Linked DNA regions of Pelodiscus sinensis. The protein of the gene in region 1 purifies or fractionates together with the protein of each later gene. This does not show direct contact. Links are inferred from orthologs where the notes say so. Each region holds a gene or a part of one and is shown in the gene's direction. Other genes may lie near its edges. The genes, in order: TWF1, DBN1 and CAPZB.

Region 1 (7,832 bases):
GTTGACTCATATTCAACTTGTGGTCCACTATGACCCCTAGATCCCTTTCCGCCATGCTCCTTCCTAGACAGTCGCTTCCCATCTTGTATGTATGGAACTGATTGTTCCTTCCTAAGTGGAGCACTTTGCATTTCTCTTTATTAAATCTCATCCTGTTTACCTCTGACCATTTCTCTAACTTGCTAAGGTCATTTTGAATTATGTCCCTATCCTCCAAAGAAGTCGCAACCCCACCCAGTTTGGTATCATCTGCAAACTTAATAAGCGTACTCTCTATCCCAATATCTACATCATTGATGAAGATATTGAACAGTACGGGTCCCAAAACAGACCCTTGAGGAACTCCACTTATTATCCCTTTCCAGCAGGATTTAGAACCGTTAACAACAACTCTCTGACTACAGTTATCCAGCCAATTATGCACCCACCTTATCGTGGCCCTATCTAAGTTATATTTGCCTAGTTTATCAATAAGATCAAACTACAACTGTCTGCTAACTAATGTGAAGCTACCCAAAAATTCACAACACTGCATTAGTTTTAATTAAAAGATAAGACAAGTTTATTTAACTACATAGAATAGGTTTCAAGGAGTACAAGTAATGAGACATTAAAGTCAGAAACGATTACAAGAAAAATAAAGATAAAATGCTTTGTAAACTTGGGCCGGGTCTATACTAGAGGCCAATATCGAACTAATGTACGCAACTCCAGCTATGTGAATAGCATAGCTCGAGTCAACATATCTTAGTTCGACTTATCGCAGCATCCCTATTAGGGATGTTAAATATCGGTTAATTGAATAGTCAATTAACCTTATGAATTCTTATTAGTTAGTCGACTATTCTACCATGAGGATGCCAGCCCCACTCCTGGGGAGTACCCTGCCATCCCATGCTGCTGCATCTCCATCACAGGCAGCAGTGTGGGGTGCCAGGTGGGAGCTGGTCCGTGAAGGGAGCCAGTTTAAAAACCAGCTCCCCTCGTTGACTGGCTGCCTGCTACCCTGCACTGATACAGATGCAGCAGTACAGGGTGGCAGAGGGCTCCCTAGGAGTGGGGCCAGCACAAGCCAGAATTTAGCCAGGCTGAGTAGCCTGGCTCCTAATACACTTGAAATGCAGAGCCACTGAAGGGATAGCATTAACCTATAAGCTTTTGCTGATCGGTTAATTGACTAATAAACTATCCTATTGTCGGGGACTTTAACCCGGACGGCCTCCGTTCGTTGTCTGACCGCAAAGAGACAGGCAACACCAGCAAGATCCAATCACGAGCTCTTTATTGAATAGTGCGCACTACAATAGAGAGCGGCCCGTCTCCCAAGTGAACCAGCCACGATTTCAGTAACAAGTAAGATTATATAGACAGTTCCGTCGCATCATAAAACATTTGCCTAAGCATCTTAGCCCCCCCTTAATTAGTTAGAAGCTTCTAGTGTTAATGTGTATACTTCATGGCCTTAAGCAATTCATAATACGTCAACAGCTTTCTTATCAGCCCAGAAGGCAAGTACCAAACAACAAAGAGACAGGGAGTTAAAACAACAGAGGGCAGAGACAGTTCGTTAAGATCAGGGTGAGAACAGAAACAGGGAGTTACTTTATCAGTTCTCAAACTAGCTGTTCCCATTACAACCGGTATAGGAATGCAGCCTTTTACTTATTTTACTTCTGCAACTCAAGCAAGTATGTAGGGAGCGCCTCCTTGCTTGAACCATGTCTCTAGTTCTGCTCAGGGACTACTCAGAAACCTTTGTTAACCTCTTTCCTTGATTTGTCTTAACATAACTGCTCTGGGCCCAATTCTCTAGGGCCTAACACTATTACATCCCGAATCCTCACTGTGAGGGATCGAAGGAAAACAGTCTTGTTGACTCTCTCATTCTGGCGTAGCGCTGAAGTTGATGGAAGCATGTCATGACTCAATTCCCCAACTTGACACATCGAATGTAGAGATGGGGGCCAGCTAAGAGAATAAACTCTGCAAAACCTATCTCTGTGACTCCCAGAGACAAGTTTGTTCGATCTCAGTCCCCTTGAGATCCAAATAAAGCCAAAGACTGATTCACTCGCTGCCACCACCCAAGTGACTAAAAGAAAATATAAAATAAACCCTTTTCCAGGGAAGAGATCACTTGAGAATCCCCTTCCTAAAGCAGTTCTCCCCTCTGCCTCCAACCTCCCTTTTGCTTGGAGTTAGGAAAACAAACAGAAGGAATCTGCTGAGAACAATGGAGTCTGCCCCTGCAACTAGGCTCATGAACTTAAAGACACAACAATCAACCAATACCAGTTAATCAAATCAAAAAGGAAAACTCTATTATCAACACAAAACTATCCTTGCAAGCATAGTAGGTGACTAGGTGTTAAATAGCCATGAAGTGACAGACTCAGGGAAAGTCCCTGGGCTGTAATCCTTAGTTACAAAAGAGAAAAACAATTAGCCAGCTCAGACATGATTTCCAAACCCCCAAACAAGGAAATCAATAAACCCTAATTACACTTTTCAAGAAGTCCGTTCTTGGAGAACCTGTCTCCCATCTCCCTCAATACCTGGGAGAAACTGCCCTGATCTCAAACAAAGAAAAAAGAAAATCCCCCATCACACAGTTTGAAATTCCTATCCACATTTTTATTGGCTGACTGCCTGAACCCCCTCCCTAGGTGCATTTCCAGTTTCTTAACCCTTTCCTCACTCTTCAGGTAAGTCAGACTCTCCTTAGTAAGTCAGACAAAGTGAGATCCCTGGTCTTCACTAGACCTGCTTAATCGATCTCTGGGAGATTGATCCCCACAGCAGTAAGTAGACAAGGCCTTAATAAACTAGCCTTGATTTAAGGCAGTGTTTCTCAAAGTGGTCCCTGAAACCACTTTGAGAAGTTGCTAAGTAGCCGCTCCTATCTGTTTACATACCAGCACCACACCCACAGAGCCTTGTAGCTCCTATTGGCTCTGTTTCACAGTTTGCAGTCACGGGGAATCACGAGAAACAGCGGCCCAGCCCATGCCACTTTCCATGGCTCCCCTTTGGCTGCAAATGGCAAAACAGAGCCAATAGGAGCCATAAGACTCCATGGCCGTGGCACTGGTAAGTAAACAAACTGGAGCGGTCAGTTAGCAGGGTTCTCCAAGAGATTTTGTGGACCACTTTGATGAACACTGATTTAAGGTGAAGTTCTTATCAAAAAGTTTCTTGTAACATTACTTACCAAATTCTTAGGTAAAGATCTACTCCCAATGCTTCCTTCTTTTTTAACTTCTTAGGTCACAAGAGAGAAATAGATAAGGAGAGAGAACTTAGTGTTTTTTACCTCACTTTTACAGTTCAGTTACACTCTGAAAGGCATTTTCCTGAGGGTTACCCCTAGTTAAAGTTCATTCAAATACGTCCTTACTCAGAAATAGCTCACTTGATGAAGAAGACCAACAAAAATTAACACCCCTATCCTGGAAAGACGTAAGTGAGTGCTCAATTAAACACCACAAATAGTCTCACTGCATAAAGTTAAGCAGTTAGTAAGTCTTTGCAGGATCAAGGTCTAAGCAAGGTCCTGAAGCTGTGAACCTGTATAATTAATGCAACATTACATTTGAGATTTTAATGTAATTTTATGTGAGTTAACAGTCAATTGACTGTTTTCTGCCCTCCATACCTGGCAGTATCCTCCCAGAAACTGCTGATTAAACTAACCCATGGCATAAAACTTTCAAATAGGAATCAGAGATGTATGTCATCTGGTAAATTATCATCCAAATTGCAATAATGAAATACAACAGTTTTTCCATACCATAGGCATATGCATGCCAGGAGGACAAAAAGTAGTGCCATAACAGAAAGAATAGCTTTAGGGAAACCTTTGCCCTGTAACTGATACTGCTGCGGAAGACAGCCAAAACATGAGATCATATCTGGTGTTTTCATCAAATACTTTGGCAACTAATTAACTCTGTGGCATATCTGAATCCAATCTACCCAAGCATATTCAATGTACCTATCACTGCAATTACTAAGCACAACTATCAGAAAGTCGAGAAGCGTTTTCCATTTTATGACTTGACTTGGTTCCGTCCTCTAACTCTCTCGTTAGATCTCTACCGCCCCTTAAATTGCACCTGTGCTGTGGTCTGCTGCTGCTGCCAATGGAGACCCTTGGCAAAATGTCAGGCTCAGCAGACAAGCGGGCTCAAGGAGCGAGGTTTTAACCAATCCGTGTGAGTCATTTAACGAAAAGCCCTTCCGTTGATGTGCGCGGCGGTCACCTCCATGGCAAGGCAAAGGCAGTGCCCGAGAGGGGCTGCGGTGCGTCCTTGGGCATTATCCGCCTCGGGGGCACTGAACTCCGCACGGCAGCCCCCAGCGGTCCCCGCGAGGCCTGGCGGGCTCCCTAGCGTCGCAGCAGCTGAGCTATGGCCTGCGGGCCGGGGCCAGACACCCCCCCGCGCGCTCAGCGCGCCCCAATCCCGGGCAAAACGCCGCTTCGCTCTGGCCCGCCCGCTCGGGTCGAGGGGGGCGGGGCGGGCGGCCCTGGGCGGGAACCGGACCCCCCGGAACCGGCTCGCGGCGCCGGGCCCGCCCGGAAGGAGCCGGTGAGCTCCCGGCCGCTGAGTGGCGAGGGCGCGTCACGTGCGTGTCCCGGGCCAGCCTGACCCTCCCGCCCAGCCCGCCGGTTGCTGGCGGAGACGCGGACAGACGGACGGACACAGCCCCGGCGCCATCGCAACATGTCCCACCAAACCGGCATCCAAGGTACCGGCCCGGGGCTCCCCCGCGCCTCTTCCGCGGTTCCTGCCCGCCCGCGGGGCGCCCCGGGTCCCGTCTCCCCCAGCGCCTGCACCGCCGCTAGGGCTCCCTAATGCCCCATCTCTTCAGTCCCTGCGCCGCTCCCTAGGGCTTCCCTGGTGCCCACCAGTCCTGGGGCTCTCCCGTGTCCCCTTTCCCCCGCCACTGCACCGTCCCCTGGTGCCCACCACTCCTTACACTGCCCTGGGCTCTTGAGCGTCCCTTCCTGTGTTCCTGGTGCCCCTTTCACCACCTCAACCCCTGCTGGGCCCAGGCTCCCCAGTAGCCCTTCCTCTCCTCCCCACAGTTCCTCCCTTCCCCTCTACCCCAGCCTATACACACCCGCTCTATGGAACCGCACATTGTTCGTCTCCCCAGCTTCTACACTGCTCCTTCCTCTTTTCAAGCTAAGCCTCATCCCACTCTAGGGCTTTGTCTACACTGCAGAGCTTTTGTGCAAGAAGCCTTTTGCTGAAGAGTTCTTGCACAAAAACTGCTTGCACAAAAGGTGTCCAGACCTCAGAGTGCATCGCAAAAGTGATGTGCTTTTGCGCAAGAGAGCGTCCACACTGCATGGACACTCTTGCGCAAGAAAGCTCTGATTGCCATTGACCTGTGCTTTTTCTGATAGGGGTTTCTTGCACAAAAACCCCTCCGGAATGTCCACACATGCCTTTTTTGCACAAAAGGTGTAGCGCAAAAAGGAGTTATTCCTCATGGGTAGAAGAATAACTCTACCAGCAAAAGCCCTCTGTTCTGTTGATTTTCTTGCGTAAAAACGCATTTGAAGTGTGGATGCTCTGCTGGTGTTTGCATGAAAAACGGCTGGTTTTTGCACAAAAACCTTGTAGTGTAGACATAGCCTAGGACTTTTTAACTGCCCCTGCTCTCTTGGGGCATTGAACTGCCTGGTCTTCCCTTCCTTCTCCAAACCATGAAATTGCCCCCTTCTTCTGCCTCTTCCTTTCTGAGTTAGAAACTAGAGCAAGCTCCCCCTTTCCTGTCTGTGTTAACAAGCCACCTAGTTCCTGACTGTGGCCCTTGGATCTTCTGTTACCCTGTGCTGCTCTAGAGCATCCAGCTATGATTTATTAGCAGTATTTTTGTGGGACAAGGTGAAGAACAGTAGGGCACAACAATTTTGTAAATGATTGTACCATATAGCTGGAAGGAGGAGAATAGAAAGGCAAGGTTGGAAGCATCCTGAGAAGTGGTCATGTCTAGCCCTTTGCACTGAGTAGGACCAGATAAATCTAGGCTCTCCCTTACAGGTGTTTGAGATGGCTGGGAAATGATTACATGTTTTAGGTGTAATCTGATGATTTAGAAGAGATGGGGAATTATAGCTTCTCTGCTCCTTCCTTGTACCCCATATAAATCTATTATTTGCTCCATTTTGGAGTAAATTTGAGTGTGTGGTTGTGGCTTATACTATATTAACTGGATGTATTACTTTAAAACCTATTTTGCAGTTACTTACTGTATCCAGTGTGCATTAATGAGATGGTCAGAGTATTTGACTCTCTCTCGTTTTGAGGAATTTTGTTTTCTGCTTTAAAAAAAATACAAGCTAGTTTTGATGTTGCTTTTATTTAATTCCATGCTGGAACATGGGATAGGAAAACTTAATGAGATCAAATTCATATCTTTGATACAGGCATCAATCTTAATCTGCCTGCTATCTGATTTTGGTCTGCATGGGACACAGTCACATTTCATCATGACCTCACAACATTTGAGGTTGTTGTATTGCAACTTTGGTCAATACAAAATCTTACTTTACATACCACTAACCATATTTCTCAACTCTCTTTTTATCACTATCCTATTCCTAAAAGATATCCCCCAGTTAAACCATAAATTTCTAGTCTAGCTGCAGGAAACACTTACTGGAATTCTGTGACCCTGTGTTATGTAGATCAGACTAGATGATCATATAATAGTCCTTTTGGGCCTTAAAAAGCTATTAACCCTAATTAGAAAAAGTATAAATGACCTGGTGGCAAAAATGCTGCTGTGCATTCAGGTCTTGTCTCCTTTTATTACTTCAAGCGGTACAAATGTACTACTGATAGTGCAGTGGTGAGAAATTTCAAGAAAATGCACAGTTTAGACGCCAGTACAAAACTAGTTACATGTTTTGCTATCATTTTGGTGCATAGGTTTAATCCTGGAAAAGAAGCAGCAGATAACATTTTTAGGGGAGGGGAAAAACAATTCTTAGGAAGATGAGTGAATGTATCTTTCTTTGAGGGGAAAGAGAATTTCTGGAAAGGGGAAAGACAAAGAAAACTTGGTAGCATATTATATAGAGCTGATGTTAGTCCTTGGGGAAGGGGAAGAAATTAGTCTAATTAGTTGTGTGTTGGGTTGATAATGGGAAGAAATAAAGGCTCCCTGTACCAAAAATTTGAAGAGTAGAAGATAATCTCAACCACTGATGAAAATTAACAGAAGCATTTATACATGAACATGGATGATAGTATAGTAAGACACAGCATATGTACCTCTCTGTTTGATGTGGGCATGTGACTAAATGAAGACTTTATGGGTTTTTTTCTGTTTGATAGACTTTTATTTTGCTGTCACTACGGTATATATCGTGGGTTTACTTGGGAAACCAACATGCACAGTTCTGTAGTAAGTCTTATAACTAAATTCACTTAAATTCAAATATATTCAATAGAGTTGCTAAGACTAAAATAATCCTTACAGGTCCACACACAATTCTTTAACACGCTTTTATAAATGAGTTTGCTCTTTCTTTTGTTTAAATAGTAGTTTAAGAGTGCGGATAGGGCTATAGAAAAATAATAGCAATAGTAGAAATGTTGGAATTCCACTGTTTATCTTGATGGGGTAGATTTGAAACCTAATTATGATTACTAACCCCAGTATATTAATCACTTCACTTTTGAAAATGGAACCACAAGCATCCAGTCTGCATTTTCGACTGTTGCAGATTTCATTTTAAAAGGGGGGTTTATACTCCAGTTATAAACAAATCTGAATTTCTTGGTGGAAGAAGTGGAGTAACAGACCTTCTCCTA
Region 2 (8,230 bases), on another chromosome or scaffold:
GGGGAACAGGCTGCTAAAATTAGCTGCCCAGAGTGTGACTTCATGGAAGGTCAGGCTGGCTTGTGAGTGTGCCAGGCTGGGCCGGCCCCTGAGCATCCCTGTGGCGTCGGTCTTGTGCGCCCTGGGTGAGGAGGGGGCTCCCGCAGTGGGGCTGGGGCACCAGGCACTGGCCTGGCCCCATATCCCTCCGTCCTGCACAGGCCCCCACCATGCCCCAGACCAGGTGTGTCCGTTTTCTGCCCGCAGCACCGCTCCTCCTCCCGCAGTGCAGCCCCAGCCTGCCCCACGGCAGGGCCCTCACGCTTCCCGTGGGCACCTGCAGCCCCAGCCTGCCCCCCGGCAGGGCCCTCACGCTTCCCGTGGGCACCTGCAGCCCCAGCCTGCCCCACGGCAGGGCCCTCACGCTTCCCGTGGGCACCTGCAGCCCCAGCCTGCCCCACGGCAGGGCCCTCACGCTTCCCGTGGGCACCTGCAGCCCCAGCCTGCCCCCCGGCAGGGCCCTCACGCTTCCCGTGGGCACCTGCAGCCCCAGCCTGCCCCCCGGCAGGGCCCTCACGCTTCCCGTGGGCACCTGCAGCCCCAGCCTGCCCCCCGGCAGGGCCCTCACGCTTCCCGTGGGCACCTGCAGCCCCAGCCTGCCCCACGGCAGGGCCCTCACGCTTCCCGTGGGCACCTGCAGCCCCAGCCTGCCCCACGGCAGGGCCCTCACGCTTCCCGTGGGCACCTGCAGCCCCAGCCTGCCCCCCGGCAGGGCCCTCACGCTTCCCGTGGGCACCTGCAGCCCCAGCCTGCCCCCCGGCAGGGCCCTCACGCTTCCCGTGGGCACCTGCAGCCCCAGCCTGCCCCCCGGCAGGGCCCTCACGCTTCCCGTGGGCACCTGCAGCCCCAGCCTGCCCCCCGGCAGGGCCCTCACGCTTCCCGTGGGCATCTCTAGCCCCAGCCTGCCCCCCGGCAGGGCCCTCACGCTTCCCGTGGGCACCTGCAGCCCCAGCCTGCCCCCCGGCAGGGCCCTCACGCTTCCCGTGGGCACCTGCAGCCCCAGCCTGCCCCCCGGCAGGGCCCTCACGCTTCCCCTGGGCACCTGCAGCCCCAGCCTGCCCCCCGGCAGGGCCCTCACGCTTCCCGTGGGCACCTGCAGCCCCAGCCTGCCCCCCGGCAGGGCCCTCACGCTTCCCGTGGGCACCTGCAGCCCCAGCCTGCCCCCCGGCAGGGCCCTCACGCTTCCCGTGGGCACCTGCAGCCCCAGCCTGCCCCACGGCAGGGCCCTCACGCTTCCCGTGGGCACCTGCAGCCCCAGCCTGCCCCACGGCAGGGCCCTCACGCTTCCCGTGGGCATCTCTAGCCCCAGCCTGCCCCCCGGCAGGGCCCTCACGCTTCCCGTGGGCACCTGCAGCCCCAGCCTGCCCCCCGGCAGGGCCCTCACGCTTCCCGTGGGCACCTGCAGCCCCAGCCTGCCCCCCGGCAGGGCCCTCACGCTTCCCGTGGGCATCTCTAGCCCCAGCCTGCCCCCCGGCAGGGCCCTCACGCTTCCCGTGGGCACCTGCAGCCCCAGCCTGCCCCACGGCAGGGCCCTCACGCTTCCCATGGGCACCTGCAGCCCCAGCCTGCCCCACGGCAGGGCCCTCACGCTTCCCGTGGGCATCTCTAGCCCCAGCCTGCCCCCCGGCAGGGCCCTCACGCTTCCCATGGGCATCTCTAGCCCCAGCCTGCCCCCCGGCAGGGCCCTCACGCTTCCCGTGGGCATCTCTAGCCCCAGCCTGCCCCCCGGCAGGGCCCTCACGCTTCCCGTGGGCACCTGCAGCCCCAGCCTGCCCCCCGGCAGGGCCCTCACGCTTCCCATGGGCATCTCTAGCCCCAGCCTGCCCCCCGGCAGGGCCCTCACGCTTCCCGTGGGCACCTGCAGCCCCAGCCTGCCCCCCGGCAGGGCCCTCACGCTTCCCGTGGGCATCTCTAGCCCCAGCCTGCCCCCCGGCAGGGCCCTCACGCTTCCCCTGGGCACCTGCAGCCCCAGCCTGCCCCACGTCAGGGCCCTCACGCTTCCCGTGGGCATCTCTAGCCCCAGCCTGCCCCCCGGCAGGGCCCTCACGCTTCCCGTGGGCACCTGCAGCCCCAGCCTGCCCCCCGGCAGGGCCCTCACGCTTCCCATGGGCATCTCTAGCCCCAGCCTGCCCCCCGGCAGGGCCCTCACGCTTCCCCTGGGCACCTGCAGCCCCAGCCTGCCCCCCGGCAGGGCCCTCACGCTTCCCGTGGGCACCTGCAGCCCCAGCCTGCCCCCCGGCAGGGCCCTCACGCTTCCCGTGGGCACCTGCAGCCCCAGCCTGCCCCACGGCAGGGCCCTCACGCTTCCCGTGGGCACCTGCAGCCCCAGCCTGCCCCCCGGCAGGGCCCTCACGCTTCCCGTGGGCACCTGCAGCCCCAGCCTGCCCCACGGCAGGGCCCTCACGCTTCCCGTGGGCACCTGCAGCCCCAGCCTGCCCCCCCGGCAGGGCCCTCACGCTTCCCCTGGGCACCTGCAGCCCCAGCCTGCCCCCCGGCAGGGCCCTCACGCTTCCCGTGGGCACCTGCAGCCCCAGCCTGCCCCCCCGGCAGGGCCCTCACGCTTCCCCTGGGCACCTGCAGCCCCAGCCTGCCCCCCGGCAGGGCCCTCACGCTTCCCGTGGGCACCTGCAGCCCCAGCCTGCCCCCCGGCAGGGCCCTCACGCTTCCCGTGGGCACCTGCAGCCCCAGCCTGCCCCCCGGCAGGGCCCTCACGCTTCCCGTGGGCACCTGCAGCCCCAGCCTGCCCCCCCGGCAGGGCCCTCACGCTTCCCCTGGGCACCTGCAGCCCCAGCCTGCCCCCCGGCAGGGCCCTCACGCTTCCCGTGGGCACCTGCAGCCTCAGCCTGCCCCCCGGCAGGGCCCTCACGCTTCCCATGGGCATCTCTAGCCCCAGTCTGCCCTGTGCACTGGGGGGGCTGGGGTGGGGGTGGGGAAATGAGGGCTTGTTCCCTGCACAGGGTGCTGCCTGGCACTGGCAGAGCCTCGGGGCATTGCCGGGAGATGGGCAGCGCCCGGTGCTGGGGTCTGTGCAGGTCCAGGCTGGACCCGCTCCACTGGGGCCTGTGGGGCGCAGGTCCCCGGGGGCTCCCCACTGCTGAGCAGGACGGTGTCTTGGGGCGCTGCCCTTCGGGACTCCCCTCTGTTCTGGTGAGTTGCAGCGGTGCCCTGGGCTGCGATCCAGCGGGTTAGCACTCGCCTCCCTGGTGTCCTTCTCTGTGTCTCACGGCGGGGGGGCCAGTCTCCTGTGGGAAGGGGAGCATGTCTGGCTTTGGGTTTGGTGTGTGAAAGGGGGCTGGGAGCCAGGCAGAGCAAGGGGCAGGGTGGGAGGGGGCGGGATGTGGCAGTCCTTCCTTGGGGCCCCCAGGGAGGGGTGACAGACGCCTGCTGGAGACTGCCTGGGGCCAGGGCGCATGATTCCCCCTCCTGCCACTGCACCCATGCGGCCCTCCGCCCCACATGGGACAGGGCAGGCTGGGGGGCGGAGGGCTCACAGCTCATCAGACTGGGAATGTGGTGAGTCAGCAAATGCCCCGGCTTCACCAAGCAGCAAGCCCTCGGGGCCTGGGATGGGGAAATGCAGATAGCCTGGGGGTGGGGGGGAGGCCCGGGTGGGGCAGTCCGCAGTGGGGAGTGGTCTGTGTCGGGGGGGGGGGGCACAGGGGGGGCACAGGGGGGATGTGCTGCAGCTAGTGCCCCTGCCAGAGACCAGCGCCCCCCCCCCCCCACTTCCCCACTAATCACCTCCTCTTGTGAGTTCCATCCCAGCTGGAGAGCTGGGTGGTTGCCATGGAGACAGGATGCTGGTTGCCTAGATAAGCTGAAATTTCCCTGCCTTCGCCCACCAGCCCTGGACCGACTCTGCCGGCTGCCCACCCCCACCTTTGAGGAGGGGCCGCTGTGGGGGGCAGGGGACACACGGGGGGCAGGGGGCGGGGGCCGTGCCAAGCCCAGCCTGGAGAGGGGCCGGTATCCAAGGAACCGTCTCCATGGAGTCCCCATCGCACCCTGATGGCTCATTGATTTGCTGCTGCTCCCTGCCAGGGGCTCACGCAGCCGGGAACGTGAGCAGCTCCGGCCTGGGGGGGGCTGCTGCCCCAGGCCCACGGGCCCGCCTGACAGCTGCTGACTGGCCCCAGAGGGGTGAAGCCTGGTCCCCCCCAGCTCGTAGGGGAGCTGCCAGCACGCTGCCTGGGGGGCTGGCGAAAAGGGCCTGCTTGGCAGCTAGGGCGGGGGGCTGGGACCCATTTCCCCCTCCCGCTGCCAGTCCCTGCCGCCCTCCCCCAGGCTCCCTGCTCACCCAGTGGGCGCCAGGCACTGGGATTCCGTCGCCTTTCACTGGGCGCAGCCAGGGGGGGTTTCTCCCTGGGCCTCGGGCGCCGCCCTGCTCCCGCTGGCCCCGCTGTGGAGGGAGAGGAGAGGCCCACGCTGACAGCCCCCAGGCCCACACACCACTGCCCCAGGGAGGGACTTCGCATTGTAGCTGGAGTGCCCAGTGTAGAGTCCAGCCGCCCGCCCCCTGCTGGCCCCCCTTGCTATGGGGGGGTCCGGCCCACCCCAGCTCCTGCAGCAGGTGCACTGTGCATGGCGCGAGGCCGCCCCCTGCTGGTGGGGTGCAGGCTGCAGTGGAGCGCTGCTGTGCCCCTCACAGGCTCTCCTCCCGCAGGGCTCTGTACACCTACGAGGATGACTCTGATGACCTGAAGCTGGCTGCGTCGGGAGGTAAGGGGTCCCCTGCCCTGGGCCTCCTGCCAAGGGGGGCTAGAGAGCCTAAACACCCCTCCCCAAAGCACTTGCCACCTGGGGGGAGGACAGCCAGCCTGTGGATACTTCCCCACCCATGGGGGGACAGACCGAGCGCCTGTGATTCCTCCCCGCCCGTAGGGGGACACACTGAGCGCCTGTGATTCCTCCCCGCCCGTGGGGGGACACACCGAGTGCCTGTGATTCCTCCCCGCCCGTAGGGGGACACACTGAGCGCCTGTGATTCCTCCCCGCCCGTGGGGGGACACACCGAGTGCCTGTGATTCCTCCCCGCCCGTGGGGGGACACACCGAGTGCCTGTGATTCCTCCCCGCCCGTAGGGGGACACACTGAGCGCCTGTGATTCCTCCCTGCCCGTGGGGGGACACACTGAGCGCCTGTGATTCCTCCCTGCCCGTGGGGGGACACACCGAGTGCCTGTGATTCCTCCCCGCCCGTGGGGGGACACACCGAGCGCCTGTGATTCCTCCCTGCCTGTGGGGGGACACACTGAGCGCCTGTGATTCCTCCCCGCCCGTGGGGGGACAGACTGAGCGCCTGTGATTCCTCCCCGCCCGTGGGGGGACACACTGAGCGCCTGTGATTCCTCCCCACCCGTGGGGGGACACACCGAGCGCCTGTGATTCCTCCCCGCCCGTGGGGGGACACACCGAGCGCCTGTGATTCCTCCCTGCCTGTGGGGGGACACACCGAGCGCCTGTGATTCCTCCCTGCCCGTGGGGGGACACACCGAGCGCCTGTGATTCCTCCCCGCCTGTGGGGGGACAGACCGAGCGCCTGTGATTCCTCCCTGCCCGTGGGGGGACACACTGAGCGCCTGTGATTCCTCCCTGCCCGTGGGGGGACACACCGAGCGCCTGTGATTCCTCCCTGCCCATGGGGGGACACACCGAGCGCCTGTGATTCCTCCCCGCCCGTGGGGGGACAGACCGAGCGCCTGTGATTCCTCCCTGCCCGTGGGGGGACACACCGAGCGCCTGTGATTCCTCCCCGCCCGTGGGGGGACACACCGAGCGCCTGTGATTCCTCCCCGCCCGTGGGGGGACAGACCGAGCGCCTGTGATTCCTCCCCGCCCGTGGGGGGACAGACCGAGCGCCTGTGATTCCTCCCCGCCCGTGGGGGGACAGACCGAGCGCCTGTGATTCCTCCCCGCCCGTGGGGGGACAGACCGAGCGCCTGTGATTCCTCCCCGCCCGTGGGGGGACAGACCGAGCGCCTGTGATTCCTCCCCGCCCGTGGGGGGACACACTGAGCGCCTGTGATTCCTCCCCGCCCGTGGGGGGACACACTGAGCGCCTGTGATTCCTCCCCGCCCGTGGGGGGACACACTGAGCGCCTGTGATTCCTCCCTGCCCGTGGGGGGACAGACCGAGCGCCTGTGATTCCTCCCTGCCCGTGGGGGGACACACCGAGCGCCTGTGATTCCTCCCTGCCCGTGGGGGGACACACCGAGCGCCTGTGATTCCTCCCTGCCCGTGGGGGGACACACCGAGCGCCTGTGATTCCTCCCCGCCCGTGGGGGGACAGACCGAGCGCCTGTGATTCCTCCCTGCCCGTGGGGGGACAGACCGAGCGCCTGTGATTCCTCCCCGCCCGTGGGGGGACACACCGAGCGCCTGTGATTCCTCCCCGCCCGTGGGGGGACACACCGAGCGCCTGTGATTCCTCCCCGCCCGTGGGGGGACAGACCGAGCGCCTGTGATTCCTCCCCGCCCGTGGGGGGACAGACCGAGCGCCTGTGATTCCTCCCCGCCCGTGGGGGGACAGACCGAGCGCCTGTGATTCCTCCCCGCCCGTGGGGGGACAGACCGAGCGCCTGTGATTCCTCCCCGCCCGTGGGGGGACAGACCGAGCGCCTGTGATTCCTCCCCGCCCGTGGGGGGACACACTGAGCGCCTGTGATTCCTCGCCCGTGGGGGGACACACTGAGCGCCTGTGATTCCTCCCCGCCCGTGGGGGGACACACTGAGCGCCTGTGATTCCTCCCCGCCCGTGGGGGGACACACTGAGCGCCTGTGATTCCTCCCCGCCCGTGGGGGGACACACTGAGCGCCTGTGATTCCTCCCCGCCCGTGGGGGGACAGACTGAGCGCCTGTGATTCCTCCCCGCCCGTGGGGGGACAGACTGAGCGCCTGTGATTCCTCCCCGCCCGTGGGGGGACACACTGAGCGCCTGTGATTCCTCCCCGCCCGTGGGGGGACACACTGAGCGCCTGTGATTCCTCCCCGCCCGTGGGGGGACACACTGAGCGCCTGTGATTCCTCCTCGCCCGTGGGGGGACACACTGAGCGCCTGTGATTCCTCCCCGCCCGGCAGGAGGCGGCTTGCAGGAGCTCTCTGGCCACTTTGAGAACCAGAAGGTGATGTATGGCTTCTGCAGCGTGAAGGAGCCCCAGGCAGCCCTGCCCAAATACGTCCTGGTCAACTGGGTGAGTGGGGCAGAGGGCTCCATGCGGGGGTGCAGGCCGGGACACCCCCTTTTGGCCTGTTTGCAGCCCCACAGGTGGGATGCAGCGAGGGGTGGAGCCGGGCCGTTCTGCAGGAGTGGGGTGCCTGCCCTACATGCTGGGGGGGGTGTTCCTGGCCTGACACTAGTCTGTGCGCAGGAGGGGGCGAGTGGGGGTGGGGCGGTTCTAGCCCCTCCAGCCACTTGGCAGTGCGTGTCTGAGCCCCGCGCAGCGCCCCCGGCTGGCGGGGGAGACTCGGCACACGCCTGGGGGGTGCGATGGGCCTGCCGGAGCTTGGGGGGGCCTGTGGTGTTCGGGGCCCCAGAGCTTTTCCAGGGACCCCACCTAGTGGAGCTCTGTGTCCCTGCACCGGGCCCCGCTGGGGTGGCCAGGGGGGTAGGGCTGCCCCAGCGCCCTGGAGCCTCACTGGGCCCCTGGGATCCAGGCGGAGCCACGTGCCCGCCCTGCCGGGAGTGACGGTCCCGCAGCTCTGCCTTGCCATTGGCCGAGCTGCCCTGGGCGTGGCAACGGGGAGAGGAGCTGTCGGGGCCCCCCACATCTCCACTCCTGCCTGCGCCAGACCTGGGGCCCGCCTCACTCACTCCGTGCCGTGGCAGGTTGGGGAGGACGTGGCCGATGCCCGCAAGTGTGCCTGCGCCAGCCACGTGGCCAAGGTCGCCGAGTTCTTCCAGGTCAGTGCGGGCGGCCCCTGGCCAGCAATAAGCAGGGCCCCAGGAGGCGGGCGGGGAGCCCCGGGCCCCGGGAGGCGGGCGGGGAGCCCCGGGCCCCGGGAGGCGGGCGGGGAGCCCCGGGCCCCGGGAGGCGGGCGGGGAGCCCCGGGCCCCGGGAGGCGGGTGGGGAGCCCCGGGCCCCGGGAGGCGGGCGGGGAGCCCCGGGCCCCGGGAGGCGGGCGGGGAGCCCCGGGCCCCGGGAGGCGGGCGGGGAGCCCCGGGCCCCGGGAGGCGGGCGGGGAGTCCCGGG
Region 3 (8,359 bases), on another chromosome or scaffold:
CACTAAGAAAAACATCCTCTTGGCCTTAATGCTCATTTGGACTTTGGAAATTGTTTAAAATAAATTAGCCTGCAATTTCCCTCTCCTGCTGAACAGTGAGGTGCAATTACAGCCTGTAAACAAGGAGGCTGTCACTGATCCAGTTAAATACACAGCCTGATAATATTGACCTACTTATGTGCTGTGTCTACACTGGCACCCTTTTCCGTAAAAGGGATGCTAATGAGACACATCACAATTGCAAATGCCGCGGGGGATTTAAATATCCCCCGCGGCATTTGCATTAACATGGCTGCCGCTTTTTTCCGGCTCGGGGTTTTGCCGGAGAAAAGCACCAGTCTAGACGGGATCTTGCGGAAAATAAGCCCTTTTCTGGAAGATCCCTTATTCCTCAAGTAAGATGTACACCAGCTGAGGATCTGGTCTGTGGAACACAGAGCTAGTAAAATGGTATTAGGTCCATAACCCTTCTGAGTGCAAGATTGTTTCCTATTGTACATATGATAGTATTTTGCCCAGTTTAGTTTTGAATGCCCCAAGTAATATCCATTACAGCATTTTCCCAATGCTACAGGCCAGTAACGCTCCATTTTCCCAGGGCCTCCTGTCACGGAGCTAAAAGGAATATTATTTTCAAAATTGCAGCACAGAAATATATGGAGTGAGAGATGATCAAAAGGAATTAGACTGACGTAGAAAAAAAGGTAGTATCAGATTGTCAGGTAATTTCAAAATGTGTGCAATGACATATCTAATTTGCATGTGTGGTGACTGCTATGAAATATGAATTTGGATCATTTTTCATGAAAAGTCATCTACTTTTCACATTGTAGGTGCCAGTTCACCTAGTAGCTGTATGTGCACTAAAACTTGTCTGAAAACCTATCCATTTCCCAAACTGAAATTTGAGGCTGCTTAATTTGTGCTATTTGTTACATTAAATACAAATACATGTATTTGGAAAAATACTGGAACATATCTAATATATTTAATGGCATTTTGGTTCAAGCAATGGACAATGGTACAGGCAGTCCCCGAGTTACGCGAATCCGACTTACGAGACCAGGGAGATGGGAAGCAAAGCCTCTGAGGACGCCGTCAGCGGGACAGCCATGGCGCCTCTGGGCTGTCCGCTGCCCGCGTGCTCCGCGGCTTTGCTCCACGTCTCCCCAGACCAGGGAGACGGGGAGCAAAGCCGCGTAGCACGGGGGCAGCGGACAGCTCGGGTGCCGCAGCTGTCCCGCTGCCGGCATCCTCAGAGGCTTTGCTCCCCATCTCCCTGGTCTGCGGATCCGACGGCCCAGCGGACAGCCCAGATCAGCAGACCAGGGAGATGTGGAGCAAAGCCGCGGAGGACCCAGGCGGCGGGACCGCGGTGCGTCTCGGTCCCCCGCCTGCGTCTCCCTGGTCTCCTGGGGAGGGGCAGCTAGTACGCCCTCCCCTCAGCAGTCCAGACTTTTCTCCCGACGCCTGGGGCAGAGCAGCTGGGGCGCTGCCGGTTGGTCCCGCAGCGCCGCTTTGGGCACTACTGGACCAACCCGGCAGCACCCCAGCTGCTCTGCCTCAGGCGTCCTGATTCAGCCGCTGCTGGTCAGTTTCAGCAGCGCTGAATCAGGACGCCTGGGGCAGAGCAGCTGGGGTGCTGGTGGATTGGTCCAGTAGCGCCGAGGAGCGGCGCAACTGGAGCAACCCAGAAGCACCCCAGCTGCTCTGCCCCAGGCGTCCTCAAGCCAGCCACTGCTGAAACTGACCAGCGCTGACTACAGGAAGCCCGAGGCAGAGTTGCTCTGCCCCGGGCTTCCTGGAATCAGCCGCTGATCAGTTTCAGCAGCAGATGACTTGGGGACGCCTGCGGTTCTTAAGTTGAATCTGTATGTAAGAACTGGTGTCCAGATTCAGCCTGTTGAAACTGATCAGAGGCTGATTCCAGGAAGCCCGGGGCAGAGCAACTCTGCCTCGGGCTTCCTGTAGTCAGCCGCTGGTCAGTTTCAGCAGCGGCTGAATCTGGATGCCAGTTCCGACTTACATACAGATTCAACTTAAGAACAAACCTACAGTCCCTATCTTGTACGTAACCCGGGGACTGCCTGTATTAACCTGGTAAAGTAAAATCAGAGCTGTTCCCTCATCATATCCAGCCAGAAGGATATATGGGCATGATATTATATCCGTGGAAAATGTGAAGCAATTCCCCACAGAATAGAGCTTCTGTTACAATCGTAATGGAAGCATTTCACACAACATAGCAGAGAATGTCATACCAGATCCAATGACATTACATCAGACGAGGAAACATTTTGTGACTTCTCGTCAGCATTTCCAGTTCCACAGCATGCACCTCCAGGCTAGGAAAAGTAAATGGAGCAACAAAAGGGTTTTTGGCTTATGCTAGTGCCAAGTCTGCAATTCATATGCCAAAAAGCATTAACAGAGGGTCCTCCGGAATCAGGCACTCCAAGTCTTGTGAAGCAGAGGCCAAACATTTGTTCCAAAAAAGCTATAGAGCAAAGTGCTGCCATGCAATGGGCCAGATTCTCCCTTGGCATTACTCTCCTGGCTTCAGTGGAGTTATATTTGCATATATATGGGGTTGGAACTGCAGAAATGCTGAGCACTTGCAGCTACAAACTGAAGTTGATGGAAGATGAGCTTTGAACACAAATATTTCTTTATAATACTCAGTATTCTGAAATATCAGGACATCAGTACCTCAAACTGGGCCCTCCCCAAAATAGTGGACATTTCTGGCCTTAATCCTAGTGTTTCATTTTCCTATCTGTATAATGGAAATGACACCACTCCTTTACTTCACGGCTACGTCTAGACAGGCATGATTTTCCGGAAATGCTTTTAACGGAAAAGTTTTCCGTTAAAAGCATTTTCGGAAAAGAGCGTCTAGATTGGCACGGACGCTTTTCTGCAAAAGCACTTTTTGCGGAAAAGTGTCCATGGCCAATCTAGACGCGCTTTTCCACAAAAAAGCCCCAATCGCCATTTTCGCAATCGGGTCTTTTTTGCGGAAAACAAATCTGAGCTGTCTACACTGGCCCTTATGCACAAAAGGGACTTTTGTCCGAATGGGAGCAGCATAGTATTTCCGCAAAAACCACTGATTTCATACAGTAGGAAGTCAGTGCTTTTGCGGAAATTCAAGCGGCCAGTTTAGACAGCTGGCACCTTTTTCCAGAAAAGCGGCTGATTTTCCGGAAAAGCTGGCCAATCTAGACACAGCCCACAGGTTTGTGGAAGCAAATTAATTGTTTGCTAAATGCTCAGGTACTATAGTGATAAACCCCACAGAAAAGCCCACATAGACAATTAATGTTTCTGTTTTCAGAGCAGGTTTTGAATAGTGTTACTTAAATAAAGCTGGGGGACACACATAAATCTAACACAAAATACTGAGTAAGAGTGCCAACTTTTCCAACCTGTGGGACCTGACACCATTATCATGAATGGTGCCTGGTCTCTCTGATGGGAAAAGGTAACTCTAAAGAATGATTACTCAATATCCTCTATGATCCCATGCATTGCGTAAGCCAGTGGTCCTGGGAAACACAGTATGTGACATTAGCATAATTAAAAATGGTACATAAATATGCACACAGGGATCAAATCCTAATTGCATGAGCAACCTTTATTCTCCATTTCTGAAGTTTTGAGTGCTGACTTTGCACACTGGTTTTCAGCTTTTATACCTATAAATGCAACTAGCACTGTTGTGAAAAGCCTGCCCCGAGTTTAAACACATGCAGTGACGTCTTCCTGATCCAGGCCCTTGTGAGAGGCGCGGTTGGCTGCCTCAAGATTCACTTTTTAAACCCAAGGGGCAATAGCAACACAGCAGAACTTCCAAGCCTCTGCCAGGCCCAGCCAACACACCCCTTTGCCGTTGGGTGGGGCCTCAATCTCACTTCCCCATTGGCCTCTCCTCCTCCTTGCCCTGATTGGTCACTCCCTCTGCACAGCTCCTCCCCCTGCACGTTGTCTCTCCCCACGCTGTTGCAAGTGGTTGCTCCCTCCTGATCTGTGTCTTCCCCCCACTCCGCTCTCTCTCCTCCATGTTTGTTGCACTCGCCCCATCTCATCTCGCAGGGATGTTCCTTCGCTTGCCCTATCCCTCGGCTTTGCCTATTCCTTCCTTCTCATTCTGCCTGGTATGGTTCCCCCTCCCCCCCCCCGGAGGAGAAAATGGTCTGTCCCACTCCTAGTTCCTCCCTGTCCCCCGAACGAACGACGCGTACTGCGCTCCATACTTGGCGATGGCCGGAGAACCGCGCTCGGATTGGTTAAGAAGCGGCGATGGGCGGGGCCGAGTCTTAGTGACCCGGATGCGCACTCCTAGGCAACGGGCACGGCGGAAGTGGCAGGGCTGCGGCCTGGCTCAGAGAGATACCGGACGGGACCGGAAGTTGCCGCTGTCGCTAGAGCCCAGCCCAGCGGAGCCATCATGGTAAGAGAGGCTTGGAGCTGCGGGCCGCCGGAGCGGAGCTGCCCCCCCCTTCCTTGGGGCCCAGCTCCCGGTGCTCCCTTCCACCCTCGCTCGGTTGTGCCCGCGCCCCCGGGAAAGGGGCCTGCTCCGTTTGTTGCATGGTCCCTTCCTGCCCGGCCCCCTCGCTCTAGTCCCCTCTTTCCCCGTGCAGCTCGGGCTCCTTCCTTCTCCCCGGCGGCCTGGCCTGGCATGGGTGTGCTGGCCGGGCAGGGCCCGTTGGGCTTCCTGCTCCCGGGCGGAGCGAGCAAGTTCTGGGCAGGCGGTGCCGGGGGTGGGAAGCGAGGTCGCATGTCGTGGCTGGAAAGTAGCGCGGGAAGGGTTGTGACGTGGTGGGACGGTGACTTGGGGAGGGCCTGAGAGCAGGTGGCTCCAGGGCTTGCATGATGTGGGGGAGGAGGGTGCAAGGGAGGTTTGCTTTCAGGCCTGCAGAGTCGGAAGGGCCGGGGAGGGGTGCTCTGCTAACGTGGTTTGGTGGTGAGAGACAGATGTGTTAGCAGGTGCCTCCAGAGCTGCATGGTGTTGTTTGGGGGAGGAAGAAAAGGCTCCCTGAGCTGAAGCTGGGCAGGGGACTGGGCATTCAAGGTGGTGAATGATTCTCTTCTGTAAACCTTCACCTGAAATTCAGGAAGTTAAGGTGATGTCAGCTAAAATGGTGAGACTGCATCTTGTTTGTAACAGGCAAACAAGCTACTGGAGCTCTTAACAGATGTGAACTGCTGTGAATCTTCATTTCTGAATGCAGGGATTGCAGATGTAGATAGGGCATCTGTTTCTTGAGATATTTAGCTTGGTTTACAATTCACTATACATTTATGTTATCATATTATCAAGTGAATGTATACTGTTTAGTCCTTTATGGCTTTTCAAGACTCTTACTTTAATTCTGTCTGTGAAATGGAAGTGTGTTGTGTGTGTGTGTGTGCCGAAGAATGTATGTCACTTTCAAAACTAACCTGTGATTATATAGTGGCAACTCTAATTTCTGGCTAAATTGTTATTATTTATAAAACTTGAATGGTCATTTTAAGGTTTTGGGCTACTTTGTAACACATGTAGACTTCTTTAATAAAGTGGATTGAAGTGTCATAACTCTAATACCTGGAAATATCTTGAAAGATCAGCTTATCCTTGCTTCTAGGGAAAGCTGTGTTTAGCACTAATAGAAGACCATGTCATGCTTGTGCATTGGTTTTCTTACGTGGATCTGGAGGTGTACTCAGTCTTGTTTGAGAGCTGCTCAGTGAATGGAATAACATGTTTCCTCTACCTTGCAATTTTTAAAACTTTTCTTTTATTTCAAATGGACGGCAGTTTTTACTTATCCTAGATTCCATTAGATACTTCCGCTATAAACAAGCACAAGACTTCTAGCCAAAGATCTGATGAAGTAGTTAGATTTACCAGGACAGTCTCATTTCTGTGTAGAGCCCCACTTCAGGCTCATGTCTGAGGGATGTCCCTCCACTCAGCAAATTGTAAGACTGATGTCCCAAAGTGGTGGTAGAGTACAGGCAGTCCCCGACTTACGAACGGGGCTTTCTCGCCCCGGAGGTCGAGGTGGCGGATTGCTGCCTGCGAGCTCCGGGGCGAGAGAGCCCCGTTCGTAAGCTGCTCCCGGTGCCCGTGGTCTGCTGAGGACTGTCTCCAGCAGACCAGGGGCACCGGGACTGAAGCCGCAGCAGCGGCGGGTTCCCGCGCTTCTGAGGCTTTGCTCTGGCAAAGCCTCAGAAGCGCGGGAACCCGCCGCTGCTGCGGCTTTGCTCCCGGTGCCCCTGGTCTGCTGGAGACAGTCCTCAGCAGACCACGGGCACCGGGACTGAAGCCGCAGCTGCGGCAGGGTCCCGCGCCTCTGAGACTTTGCCAGAGCAAAGCCTCAGAGGCACGGCACCCCGCTGCTGCTGTGGCTGTGCTCCCCGTGTCCCTGGTCTGCTGGGGGAGGGGGGGGGCGCAGCTAGTGTGCCCCCCCCCCAGCAGATCAGGCTTTTGTTGTGGACCCTGGGGCAAAGCAGCTGGGGCGCTGCCGATTGGTCCTGCAGCGCCGCTCTGGGCACTACTGGACCAACCCGGCAGCACCCCAGCTGCTCTGCCCCAGGTCCTGATTCAGCTGCTGCTGGTCAGTTTCAGCAGTGGCTGAATCAGGACGCCTGGGGCAGAGCAGCTGGGGTGCTGCTGGGTTGGTCCAGTAGCACCAAGGAGCGAGGAGCGGTGCTACTGGAGCAACCCAGCAGCACCCCAGCTGCTCTGCCCCAGGCGTCCTGGAATCAGCTGCTGATCAGTTTCAGCAGCAGCTGACTTGGGGAGGCTTGGGGTTCTTAAGTTGAATCTGTATGCAAGTCAGAACTGGCGGTCAGTTTCAGCAGCGGCTGAATCTGGACGCCAGTTCCGACTTACATACAGATTCAACTTAGGGACTGTAGGTTTGTTCTTATCTTGTACGTAACCCGGGGACTGCCTGTAGTTGAATCTTATAGCTGAAGATATTCATTTCCTTTTCATAACTGTATGAAGACTGGTTGAGAAGACGCTATTGATGTGCTAGTCTAAATATTGTAGAAAAATTCCTCTTTTGGGGGACTACTTTTATGCAGTATCAGTATTTAAAATCTTCACTGATGCTTTCAAGTACCTGAAGGCCTAACTTTTTATTTTTCTTCTAAGCAGCTGACAATGAGGTTCTTGTACCTTTGTACAGTTAAAATATTTATTTTTTTTATATTACAGTAGATTTTAGAGGCTCCAACTAAGACTGAGACCCCATTGTAAGTCCTTAGTGGATGGAATCCAGTCTTGCAAGGAAGCATTTAATTATACAAAGCATGAGTACATAAATTCCAAGGATAATGTGTGAAAGTAGTTGATACATTTTGATTGCACTCGCAAACATCCTGTCTTTATTATGTATGCTTTATTCAAAGAAAGGTAAACAAAAGTGAGTCAATTAACAAAGTTAAATATCACTTTATATTGTCTTATGAATCATTGCCTGCGCTTCAGTGCTTTTTCAGAAATTCTAATAGATGAACTATGGCCAATGATGTAGGTTGGGGCAATCATTTCTAGTTTGCTATTTTAAGTGGTTTAAGATTTTTCAGAGAGGGCTAGGGATATAAATGAATAGTTAAGTATACAATTAACCAATAAGCCTAAGTTTAATCTTAACTACTGGCATTCTCTCCCCCCTCTTCCCCCTTTCTGCTTCTGTATCAGAGGCAGCAGAGGGGTGTGTGTGTGTGTGTGTGTGTGGAAGCAGGTGCTGGGGAGAGCTGATTTAAAAGCCTCCCCCCCCAGCTCTACATTTCTGCCTCCTTCTCTCCCCCCCCCCCCCCCCCCCCATCTTGCAGAGCAGCCTCTGTCTGCAGTGAGCCTGGGCCCACTGTGGTCAGAGGCTGCTCTGTGATGACAGACTGTGTGTGTGTCCTTCCCCCCCCCCCAGACGGGGGCTGCTGCCGCCATGTGCCATTGCCTCTGTTTCAGAAGCAGCAGCGCAAGGCGGCAGGCAGATGGTCTGAACAGGGAGCTGGTTTTTAAACTTGGTCCCCTCATGGACTGGCTCCCTGCACTGCTTCCCCTGATACAGAGGCAGCAGGTGGCAGGGGTACTCCCTAGGAGTGGGGTGGGATTGCACTGGCTGCCATCCTGTCCCCAGGGACTATAGAATAGTTGAGTAACTGCTAAAAATTCTAACAGCCCTAGAAAAGGCTTTTGTGTAGGCACATTGCTACTTGATGAATAAGCCTTGTTTTGTAGAGCTGTGACCAAACCAGTGTTGTTAAATAAGAACTAAAACAACAGTAAGACACTTTCCTAAACTCTGATCTCCAGCCCCTGCAAGACAATCAAACCAAGTGTACCCCTCTTTCAACCCTA

What was found.
Region 2: the proteins of TWF1 (region 1) and DBN1 purify together in Homo sapiens (affinity purification with mass spectrometry; 3 studies listed by BioGRID and IntAct, with this or other methods). This does not show direct contact. The link is inferred for Pelodiscus sinensis from reciprocal best matches to the Homo sapiens genes TWF1 and DBN1.
Region 3: the proteins of TWF1 (region 1) and CAPZB purify together in Homo sapiens (affinity purification with mass spectrometry; 3 studies listed by BioGRID and IntAct, with this or other methods). This does not show direct contact. The link is inferred for Pelodiscus sinensis from reciprocal best matches to the Homo sapiens genes TWF1 and CAPZB.

Annotation. Positions count from the first base shown.
Region 1 is NC_134711.1:54,401,080-54,408,911, reverse strand, and holds the start of TWF1 (twinfilin-1), read left to right. Parts: upstream 1-4,303; 5' UTR 4,304-4,724; coding exon 4,725-4,749; intron 4,750-7,352; exon of another isoform or gene 7,353-7,422; intron 7,423-7,832. UniProt on the Homo sapiens protein: Actin-binding protein involved in motile and morphological processes. Inhibits actin polymerization, likely by sequestering G-actin. By capping the barbed ends of filaments, it also regulates motility.
Region 2 is NW_027465882.1:1,082-9,311, forward strand, and holds the start of DBN1 (drebrin), read left to right. Parts: upstream 1-4,702; 5' UTR 4,703-4,758; intron 4,759-7,118; 5' UTR 7,119-7,165; coding exon 7,166-7,231; intron 7,232-7,866; coding exon 7,867-7,941; intron 7,942-8,230. UniProt on the Homo sapiens protein: Actin cytoskeleton-organizing protein that plays a role in the formation of cell projections. Required for actin polymerization at immunological synapses (IS) and for the recruitment of the chemokine receptor CXCR4 to IS.
Region 3 is NC_134733.1:7,659,213-7,667,571, reverse strand, and holds the start of CAPZB (F-actin-capping protein subunit beta), read left to right. Parts: upstream 1-5,010; 5' UTR 5,011-5,081; coding exon 5,082-5,144; intron 5,145-8,359. UniProt on the Homo sapiens protein: F-actin-capping proteins bind in a Ca(2+)-independent manner to the fast growing ends of actin filaments (barbed end) thereby blocking the exchange of subunits at these ends.